Linked DNA regions of Drosophila melanogaster. The protein of the gene in region 1 purifies or fractionates together with the protein of each later gene. This does not show direct contact. Each region holds a gene or a part of one and is shown on either strand. Other genes may lie near its edges. The genes, in order: Cks30A and Skp2.

Region 1 (3,678 bases):
GGACATGCCCTTGAAGGATCGGGAATGCGTCGACTTCCTGCACGTCATCTACCCTAATAGAGTAAACTTTGAAATCTGCCTGCGTGAAGATCGGACGCAGCTCGTCAATGTCCATAACTACGGACAGCAGTGCATGGAGTTCCGGTGGCAGAGGTAAGCTAAATATAGATGTGGCACCCATTTGATCCAGAAGAAGTACTTAAACCAAAGCTCCCATTTAATTTACTTACCCGTTCCAGCTACATAATCAACGATTTTTTTGCGGTAGTGTTCAATCCGCCTATTTTCCGCCTCAAAGGCCATCACTCGAAGTTATGCGAGATCAGAGTGACGGTGTTCGACCGACTGGTCCACTTCCGCCGCATTCCCATCGTTCTGGAGGTGCACCGCATTCTCGATCGCGCCACCATCATAGCCAAGCAGGAGCTGGAGGAGGTGGAGTCCATCGACGATCCCAAATGGAAAGAGGACAGCTACGTGGAGCACGTCTATCTGCACCTGAACATCCGCACCAATATTAAGCCCGCTCTGGACTCTGAGGAGCTGGAACCGGGCGATAGGATCGACCCCACGGCTGGACCCGAACCCTGTAGCCAAGTTGGTCCTGGGGAAGCCAGGAGAGGCAACGGCTCGGGTGACGGTCCATCGACACCTGCACCGAACACCGAGGAGCAGCGCAAAGAGGCCGAGCGCAAGGAGCTGATCTCCCGACTGGTGGCCAAGAACAAACTCAATCCCAACGAGATCATCGAGCTCAGCATGGCCATTGATCAGCGAATAACCATTTTCGAGAAGCTATTCTGGAAGTACCTAAGCAAGTCCAAGTTCATGCGAATCAATGGTGAGCGCAAGCGGCAGAAGGTGGTCAAGACCTACGAGCAAGTGGTGTCCCCGGATAAGACGACTCCCCTGGAGGCAGCATCGGAAATTGATCGAAAGTAAGTTTTCGTGGAGAGTCTAATAGGGCATTACTTAACCAGACGACAAATTGTTTTTCACTTTGCAATATCTACTGGTTTTTGTTTATAAAATAGCCTTAAATCATAATTCAAATAATTTATTTGAAATACTAATAGATTCCTTACTTCCAGTCACATCATGGATCTGCTGTCCCGGCTGATGCAGGAGGCCATCAACGACTTGGCCAAGAACTGGGTCTTTATTCCGTCGCAGTACTACGAACGCAACCATTAGGTGTTCCCTCCGTTAAATAAATGCATTCTCCTGCAATTCGTATCCGTGGTTTTCCTGGTCGCGCGATGCTTTCCACTTCGTTGTGGGTTGTCCGCGCCGGAAATTTATGTAAGATTTCGCACGAGTTGAAAGCCGACGCCAAAAATGCTGCCGAATTTATGTGTCTGCATACGGCCTTTTAGGGCTTTTCACACAGACAGGGGGCGTGGCCGTTTGGGGAGTTTAATAGCAATGGTCAGACAACTTTACGCGAGTATTTATAACTCAACGCTTGCTTTTAGTTTGTGCGGAAAGCTTACAAGTGGTCAAATGTTCGCCCATTTAGTATCTTAATATTCGCATGTGTAGCCACAATCTTTTGGATTGCACTGGGCAATCTGTTGCAATTAATTACTGTTTAAATATAAAAACGATATTTTTTAGCAGTAAATATTTTATTAAAACTTTAGCATTAGCATCCGATATAATACAAAAATAAAAAATAAATATATATGCAAAAAAAATAGCCCTTAACCTTTTTTATTAAAATTACTTTTGTTATTGCTATGAAGTTAACAATGAGATTATTCGTACACATATTAGATAACTTCAAAATTTGAACTTCCCGCGCTTGGCAATTTTTCGATTTAACCCAAACGGTCACTCTCCATCACTATATAGCGAGTGCACCAACCCGTACTAAGCGAGAGCACTGAAATTGTATTTCCTGTAAAAAATGGTAATTTTCAATTCTATTAGTACGGTCACACTTATATCTAGCGCGTCACTTGATTTTAAAAATTTCCAAACCAAACGTAAATTCCAGCACAATAATCAACCTGAATAGTGATAAAAACCGAGAAACTCGTACCTAAAAAGCAGTTGCAGTGTTTGCCAATTGATTCAACACCACGGCTAAAGTTGCGACATCGAATCCGCAGGAGCCGCCTTCGACGGTCCAAAAAAGAGACGCCAAATTCCGCAGCGCGCACTTCGCCTTTCCATTGCATCGAAATTCCTGGAATTTCCAGGCGCAGACACGATGAGCAAGGACATTTACTACTCCGACAAGTACTACGATGAGCAGTTCGAGTACAGGTGAGTGTCGCCCTTGTCGCCCGCGACCATTTGGATGCAGAGAAGCAACTGTAAAATACCCTTATCCCACAGACATGTGGTTTTGCCAAAAGAGCTGGTAAAAATGGTGCCCAAGACTCATCTGATGACGGAGGCCGAGTGGCGATCAATTGGCGTACAGCAGTCGCGCGGATGGATCCACTACATGATCCATAAGCCGGAGCCCCACATCCTCCTGTTTCGGCGACCCAAAACGGATTAGATAACCGGCGGTAGCAGCAGCAGTAGCAACAACAACTGCATCAGATACACATACTTCGAAACCACATAGCCTGTAGCACATACCTATATATCCGGCAGCTGCTGCCGATATTCTGTATTGGCGGTGGTGGTGGTTGCTGCCAAACAAACAACCAACTGTTGCACAAACATCAACAACATCATCATCATCATCATTATCATAGGTACTCAGGAATCCCCTAGAAACTACTTATTGTGCTGTTTGTGCTTTGTAATACTCTCTTTTTACCATGTTTGCCCCGCATTATTCCCTTTTATATATATAGCACCTAGAGCTAATGATAAGTTTGCCATTTGTAATACTCTCTTTTTACCATGTTTGCCCCGCATTATCCCCTTTTATATATGTAGCACCTAGAGCTAATGATGTTTGCCATTTTCGTACACCTTAGTGCCGTTTCCGAATCATTCCTCAAGTTCGCACGAATTTTATCATACTTTATGTTGCCATTTCGAAACGGAAGCGAAAAGAAGAATTTTGCTCACTTCTTTTAAGCTTAAATGAAATCTGATTTGTGATCTTGAAATTTTTAATCAATAATACATATGTTTACACATAATATAATGAACTTAAAATAAATATTTTTAATGTATGGTGAGGCTTGAAGCGTTGATTGCTTGAAGTTTTCCCTAATCGAATTAATTTGTATGTTTCTCTTATCAAGTTTTGGGTTACAAATGGTTATAGAGAAACACAAGCGCCAGCATATATGTAATTGTGAGTGAGAAGTATTCGGATTTTATATTTCGATCGTGAGCTTCGTTTTAAATCGTGTAAGTAAACATTATACGCAATCGCCTAATTATTAGAACAACGTTTTGTTTACTGTATCTTCCCAGCTATATAGATGGATATAAATTTTTCAATTCAATATTGGCTAGAGCTTGTTCTAACGCGACCGCTTCTTAGGCCCCCCACCAAAGGCTCATCCTCATTACGAGGCATTTTCTGAATTAACTTGGGTCCATCAACACCGACCAGAATCTAATTATTCAGTTATTTATATACCACAACATAGCAACCCGATTGGTGTGCAATTTCCAACCTCAACAATCTTCGCTGGTGTGTGACTTGTGAAATTTCTAGTGTCAAAAATGAAGATCGACAGTTCCGGTCCGAATGTGTGT
Region 2 (5,423 bases), on another chromosome or scaffold:
CTTGTTGTTGGCAAGGTAAAGGCATTAAGTAAGGCACAAGTACTTGAGCCACTGAGATTACTAGGTGTCGCTGCTCGTACGTTTGCCAAGCAACTTCGTAGAGGTTCATTTGGGAATCCTTCTCGCCTTCCTTAGTACAGCATTATGGCGGTCTTGTTTTTATCGTCACATGGCGCCTCCAGGCATTGGCGGTTGCGGAGGCCGAGTCGCTGGGCGTACAACAGGATGGCGATATTCAGCAGCACAACGACGGTGGATACCACGACCAGGTAAAAGCTGTAACCAAGATAAGCCAGTCCATTGCTGTACCAGTGCTGCTGCTGCTGCTCAGTTAAAAGAACGTTGTGTATGAAATATTGGTAGAACTGCACGAGCCAAGCTACAAACGCCACTATTTGCGCCCCCGCGGCGCATATGTTGGAAGTCAGGAGCAGCATCATTGTGCCTCCTTTTTTGGCCGCAGAGGCTGACTTTAGGACAGCGGCGATGGCAGCCACAGCGCAGGCCAGCAGTGCGAAACCGGTGCCCAAGGTAGTAAGTAGCCAGAGCCAGAAGCTAGTGTCGTCATTTTCTGTCCGAACAAAGGTATACACTGAAAATACGGTGTGAAATAACAAAAGTTAAACAGGATTGCTTTAAAAATTTTATATTTTATTTGCATCTCCAAAAGCTGTTAAGCTTCCACGACGTTTTTATTCTATGTTGCATATTTGTGGCTCGCAATATAATACCCTTGCAATTTTAAAAATTGTAAACCCCAAATTTCAACCATATTATATAAAAGCAAGTAAAATATGGTTCCCTATGTCCTCGCTTCTATTATATTTTTTGCGCCAAAAATTTCAATATTTTTCAATTTTGTTAAATAGAATGTAACTTCCCTTTAGCCCTAAAGTTTGTTGTGTCACTTGATTATTAATAAGAAAAACAAAAACAATTTTGGTTTTTACAATTTAATTTTTAAGCATATCCTTAGGATCTGCAAGATAAATAAATGTAATCGAAAAGTATACATAATGGTTAATTTTTGGATATGTCTGCACTGATCATGAGTATTATTCGGGTATTTAATTTTATCAACTCGCCCGATTATGTTTGTGATCTTCACAACTAAACAAATTTAAAAGTAAATCTATTTTTAACAACAGTCTTATCCAGGACAATATCGGTTTTCAACTAATACATGCCCCAATAATCAGCACATTTTCCTAATCGTATATTCATTCAGAAAGCGTCCCAAGAAGTTTAAAGAGGCTAATTCACGATGCAGGTAATGAGAAGATCACTCTCTATCTAGTTTTCCCTGCTATCTAGGCTACTTTGATTGCTCACCATCAACCGAATTTGTGCGGACTCCGAATCCGGGATTCAGGTGGTAGTTGCCGAAGAAGAGTCCGAAGTTGAATTCACCCTTGGCGTCCGACGAGTTCTTGCGGCGTGGAGTGGCCCGCACCCAGTGATTAGTGGTCATGCTGACGAGCAAGAGGCCAATAGCCAGGCAGCTGCCAAAGAAGGTGGAGAACACTAACGCCCGTGTGTGCAAGCTCATCTTGATAATGCTCATGGAAGACCGGTGGCATATGTAGAAGGCTATGCTGTTTTCACCATTAAGAAATGTCTAGGGCCCGACTCCAGCTGCAGCGAAGAAAGTTAGTAGGAAACGTTAGTAAGCGGAGGACGCAATGCCAGTGGCCTTGCAGCGTATTGCTTACCCTTTTATGACTATGTCGGCGGGATCAATTGCAAATATAGTCTTTGTTCGCGGAACAAAAGATTGTTGCACAGGTAAACAATTAATATAAACTGTCTTGCCCTTGTTTTTTTCTCAGAAGAGAAGACTGAGCGGATATTTTTTCTCAAAGAGTACGGTAGCATTAATTTGGGATTTGGTCTGGCAACCACGGCCCGTCTAGTATATTCGATAACGATACAATTCTCATACCAAAATGGCTCGACAACCCTGGTTCCATGCAAAAATAGCGCGAAGTTTTTGTGTTTACGGCGGTGAAAAAATAGATTTCGTGTAAATATGAGCAGTCGCAAGCACAGAGGCTCCGAAAACATGGAAAATTTGTGCCCGGTGACCAGGTGAGTTTTCCTTTGCTTGGGGTGTGGGTTCAAGCAGCAGACCACTGAACTGGTCGCGTGACGTCACACGCGCCACAAGTGTCCAAAAGAGGTCAAGAAAGTAACTTATTGAATTGCAGGGTTCTTGACCCTTTCTTTCATCAGCCATTCTGCTGATGAAGCACGATCGAACTGCACACTTTTAATAAATTTTCGACTATTGCAGAAAGCGCTCGACTAATAAGAACCACGTCTCTGTTGTGGGCGCTCTAGTTTCCACTACGAAGTCATCGCACTACGAGCACCCTTCCTCGCCCTCGGCACTAACTTTTGAGGCCCTAGAAGAGATGGGAATCGGAATGCTTGATTCCGAAGAAAGCAGCTCCTCAGCCCTCTCGGCCATCGCTTTGGCGGTTAGCGCCACCAGCGACGACAACTCAAATGAGACGACCCCGTGCGCCAGTGTGTCGCGCATGGCGCACCAGCTACAGCACACGCAACGGCTAAGTCTGGGCTCTACGGGGGACATCACACTGGATAGCCCAGCTGTGGAGGATTCACTGTCGATGTCCCGTCAATCGGCCGAGAAGCTGCAGATTCTGGCGCAGGCTAAGCGCTCGTCGTTGGGTTCTGAAGGTAGCGGCAATTCAAACTCGCCCAGCAAACGTTTGCGCAACCCCCTGGCTGCAGTCACCTGTAACAACCAGATTGATGGGACTGCTTCGCTCAATTTTCAGCCATCAACCAGCAGGTTGGCGCAAGTTCGCCAGGCAAAAAAGCCCTCGACAACAAATATTACAACCCGAATAGTGGCAGCGGACAGTTTCTTTGTGTTTCGCACCCCGGCCATGAGTGCCCACATCAACAGCGGCATAAACTACTTTGAAAGACTTTCAGACGAAATACTACTTGACATCTTTAAGTGGCTCCCGAAGAAGACGCTGCTGCGCATGGCTACCGTTTGTCGACGCTTTAACCGCTGCTCTCGCGATGAGACTTTGTGGACAAGGCTAGATTTGGGTTTGCGGACAATTAGACCAGGTGCCCTCGAGCAAATTGTACGGCGGGGAGTCCTTGTAATACGTCTGGCCCAGACTAGTGTAAGTTACATCTAACATTATGTTTTCGGGAAACAAGAGCATCTAATCTTTGAACTGTAGATCCAGGAGCCCGCATTTGCACCATATACAGAAGTGTTTAGGACCCGATTACAATATCTTGACCTGAGTATGGCTTCCATCACCCGAAGCTCACTGCTGACACTATTGTCCCACTGCCGCCAGCTAAAGAAAATAAGCTTAGAGAATATTGAGCTCGATGATGACATCTGTGCAGAGATCGCAAAGAATGAAGCTTTGGAGGCGGTCAATCTGACTATGGCTAGTGGCCTGACGTCCAACAGTGTTCGCCTGATGATGGAGTCACTTACCAGCCTAAGCAGCTTAAACATATCGTGGACTGACCTAAGTGCGGATGCTGTTACGGCGTTGGTTACCCACATTTCCCCCAACTTAATTCGGCTCAATATCGCTGGCTGCCGCCGCGTTTTGTTTGACTCGCGTAAGTAGTTCCCACCGTCTTCAATGATATATTTCCTTTTTGATTTGAATTTAATTTGTTTAGATGTTGCAACCCTGCAAAAACGGTGTCCTCAGTTGTTGGAGCTTGATCTATCTGATTGCAATAGTCTAACACCAACAGTCATTACTGCAATTATGAAGTTCAAGATGCTGGAATATTTGTCCGTCTCCCGATGCTATCTTATTCCAGCAACCAAATTTATGTAAGATTTTTCCAGCAAGCGTCTGATTAATCCCTACCCAGTCATTTTCCTTGCAGTGAACTTAAGAGTATGCCCTCGCTAACCTATTTAGACATATTTGGGATGCTGTCGGACACTGCAATGGAAGTCCTTGAGAAACAACTGCCAAAAATGGGTATAAACAAATTCATTCACAGTTCGGTATCCCGCCCGACTGTTGGCACGCGACGCACCTCCATTTGGGGTCTGCGCACGCGCGACTAAGTCTCGACTCTGCTGCTTCCGTTACCATTTGAATTTGTTTTGCTGCGTAAGCCACCCGTAACGCAGTTATTTTATTCTCAATTCAACAACATAAATAATCACATTTAGCTGTTCTTATTTTTGTGCGTTTGGTCACTGATCCGCTTCGCTAAGGGGCTCCACTGGTTTCTCCCATTCCCATTCCTCCCAGTTGACGCAGTTCTTGAGACTATCCATGAATCCTGTTTCGCTGGGGCACTTGATTTCAATGGCTGGTTTGTTAAGTGTCTCACACTTCCAATACGATGTGGCATCCCAATTGTTGCGGAAAACTACAATGTCTAGCTCGGCTTGGGTCTTGCAACCCGGCTGTCCGTCACCATCATAGGCGAGGGCAATGCCAAAAGAAATCACTAGTAGGGAGGTTAGAGCGAGCTGAACCTTCATCTTTCAAAAAATGTTCTATGGTCTACTGGAAGTACTCGAAGCCTTTTATAGTTACATAGTTGCAGCGGTATAGTATCCAAGTGCAGCTACTACCAGAAAATGCTTTTATAAATTGGCATTAATGTAAACACTCGAGAGAGGAAGGAAAAGATAACAGTACTTGCCCTTGACTCCAATCTGTTCAAACTAAAAAAGGTACAATGAGTCACCCAATTTTCCATTTAAAAATTCATTGTTTTTATACTATATTAAATATTTAAGAAAATAAACAAAAAATATGTCTTTTATCAAGGAAAGCATAATCAAGCCAATTCAAAACAAAATCATATAGGGAAACGACAAATATAAATATTTTCGATCTAGTTCGTAATCATAGGTTCAAGAACAAAGTTCGTATTGGACAGCCTGCCAAATTTAAAGATTCAGCAATATAAAAGTAACTAAAGCAAGAGAGAAGGCTATGGTCGAGTTCCTCGACTATCAGATACCCGTCACCCGTGGCAACATGGGTCAACTAACTTGCGCTGGGTATTTGTCTCTAGAATCTGTATGCTTAATCTCAACCTTCTAGCTTTTATAGTTCCTGAGATCTCGACTTTCATACGGACAGACGTACATGGCCAGATCGGCTATTGATCCTGGTCAAGAATATATGTACTTCATATGGTCGGGAACGCTTCCTTCTGCCTGTTTCAACGAATCTAGTATACTCTATTACTCTACGAGTAACGGGTAGAAATATAAAATTGAAACTATTTTGAGTCATCCCTCCAATTGGTAATTTTTTTATATATTAACGGAAATTTAAAGTGCGTTACAAAAGTAAAAATTCTTTTGGTGCTAGTATGCTTAACGGGGTGGACATTTCGGCGTTTTCCACACTTCTTGGGAAATCACTTTAGAC

What was found.
Region 2: the proteins of Cks30A (region 1) and Skp2 purify together in Drosophila melanogaster (affinity purification with western blotting, with the first as the bait; one study listed by BioGRID). This does not show direct contact.

The regions. Positions count from the first base shown.
Region 1 is NT_033779.5:9,328,840-9,332,517, forward strand, and holds Cks30A (Cyclin-dependent kinase subunit 30A), read left to right. Parts: upstream 1-1,923; 5' UTR 1,924-2,215; coding exon 2,216-2,271; intron 2,272-2,343; coding exon 2,344-2,512; 3' UTR 2,513-3,142; downstream 3,143-3,678. Other genes in the region: CG17005 (uncharacterized protein), read left to right, coding at 1-153, 240-938, 1,092-1,194. UniProt on the Drosophila melanogaster protein: Binds to the catalytic subunit of the cyclin dependent kinases Cdk1 and Cdk2, and is essential for their biological function.
Region 2 is NT_033777.3:4,334,213-4,339,635, reverse strand, and holds Skp2 (S-phase kinase-associated protein 2), read left to right. Parts: upstream 1-1,961; 5' UTR 1,962-2,029; coding exon 2,030-2,088; intron 2,089-2,293; coding exon 2,294-3,167; intron 3,168-3,227; coding exon 3,228-3,627; intron 3,628-3,690; coding exon 3,691-3,850; intron 3,851-3,906; coding exon 3,907-4,093; 3' UTR 4,094-4,225; coding exon of another isoform or gene 4,226-4,519; 3' UTR 4,520-4,757; downstream 4,758-5,423. Other genes in the region: CG1103 (uncharacterized protein), read right to left, coding at 132-592, 1,333-1,564; CG14645 (uncharacterized protein), read right to left, coding at 4,226-4,519.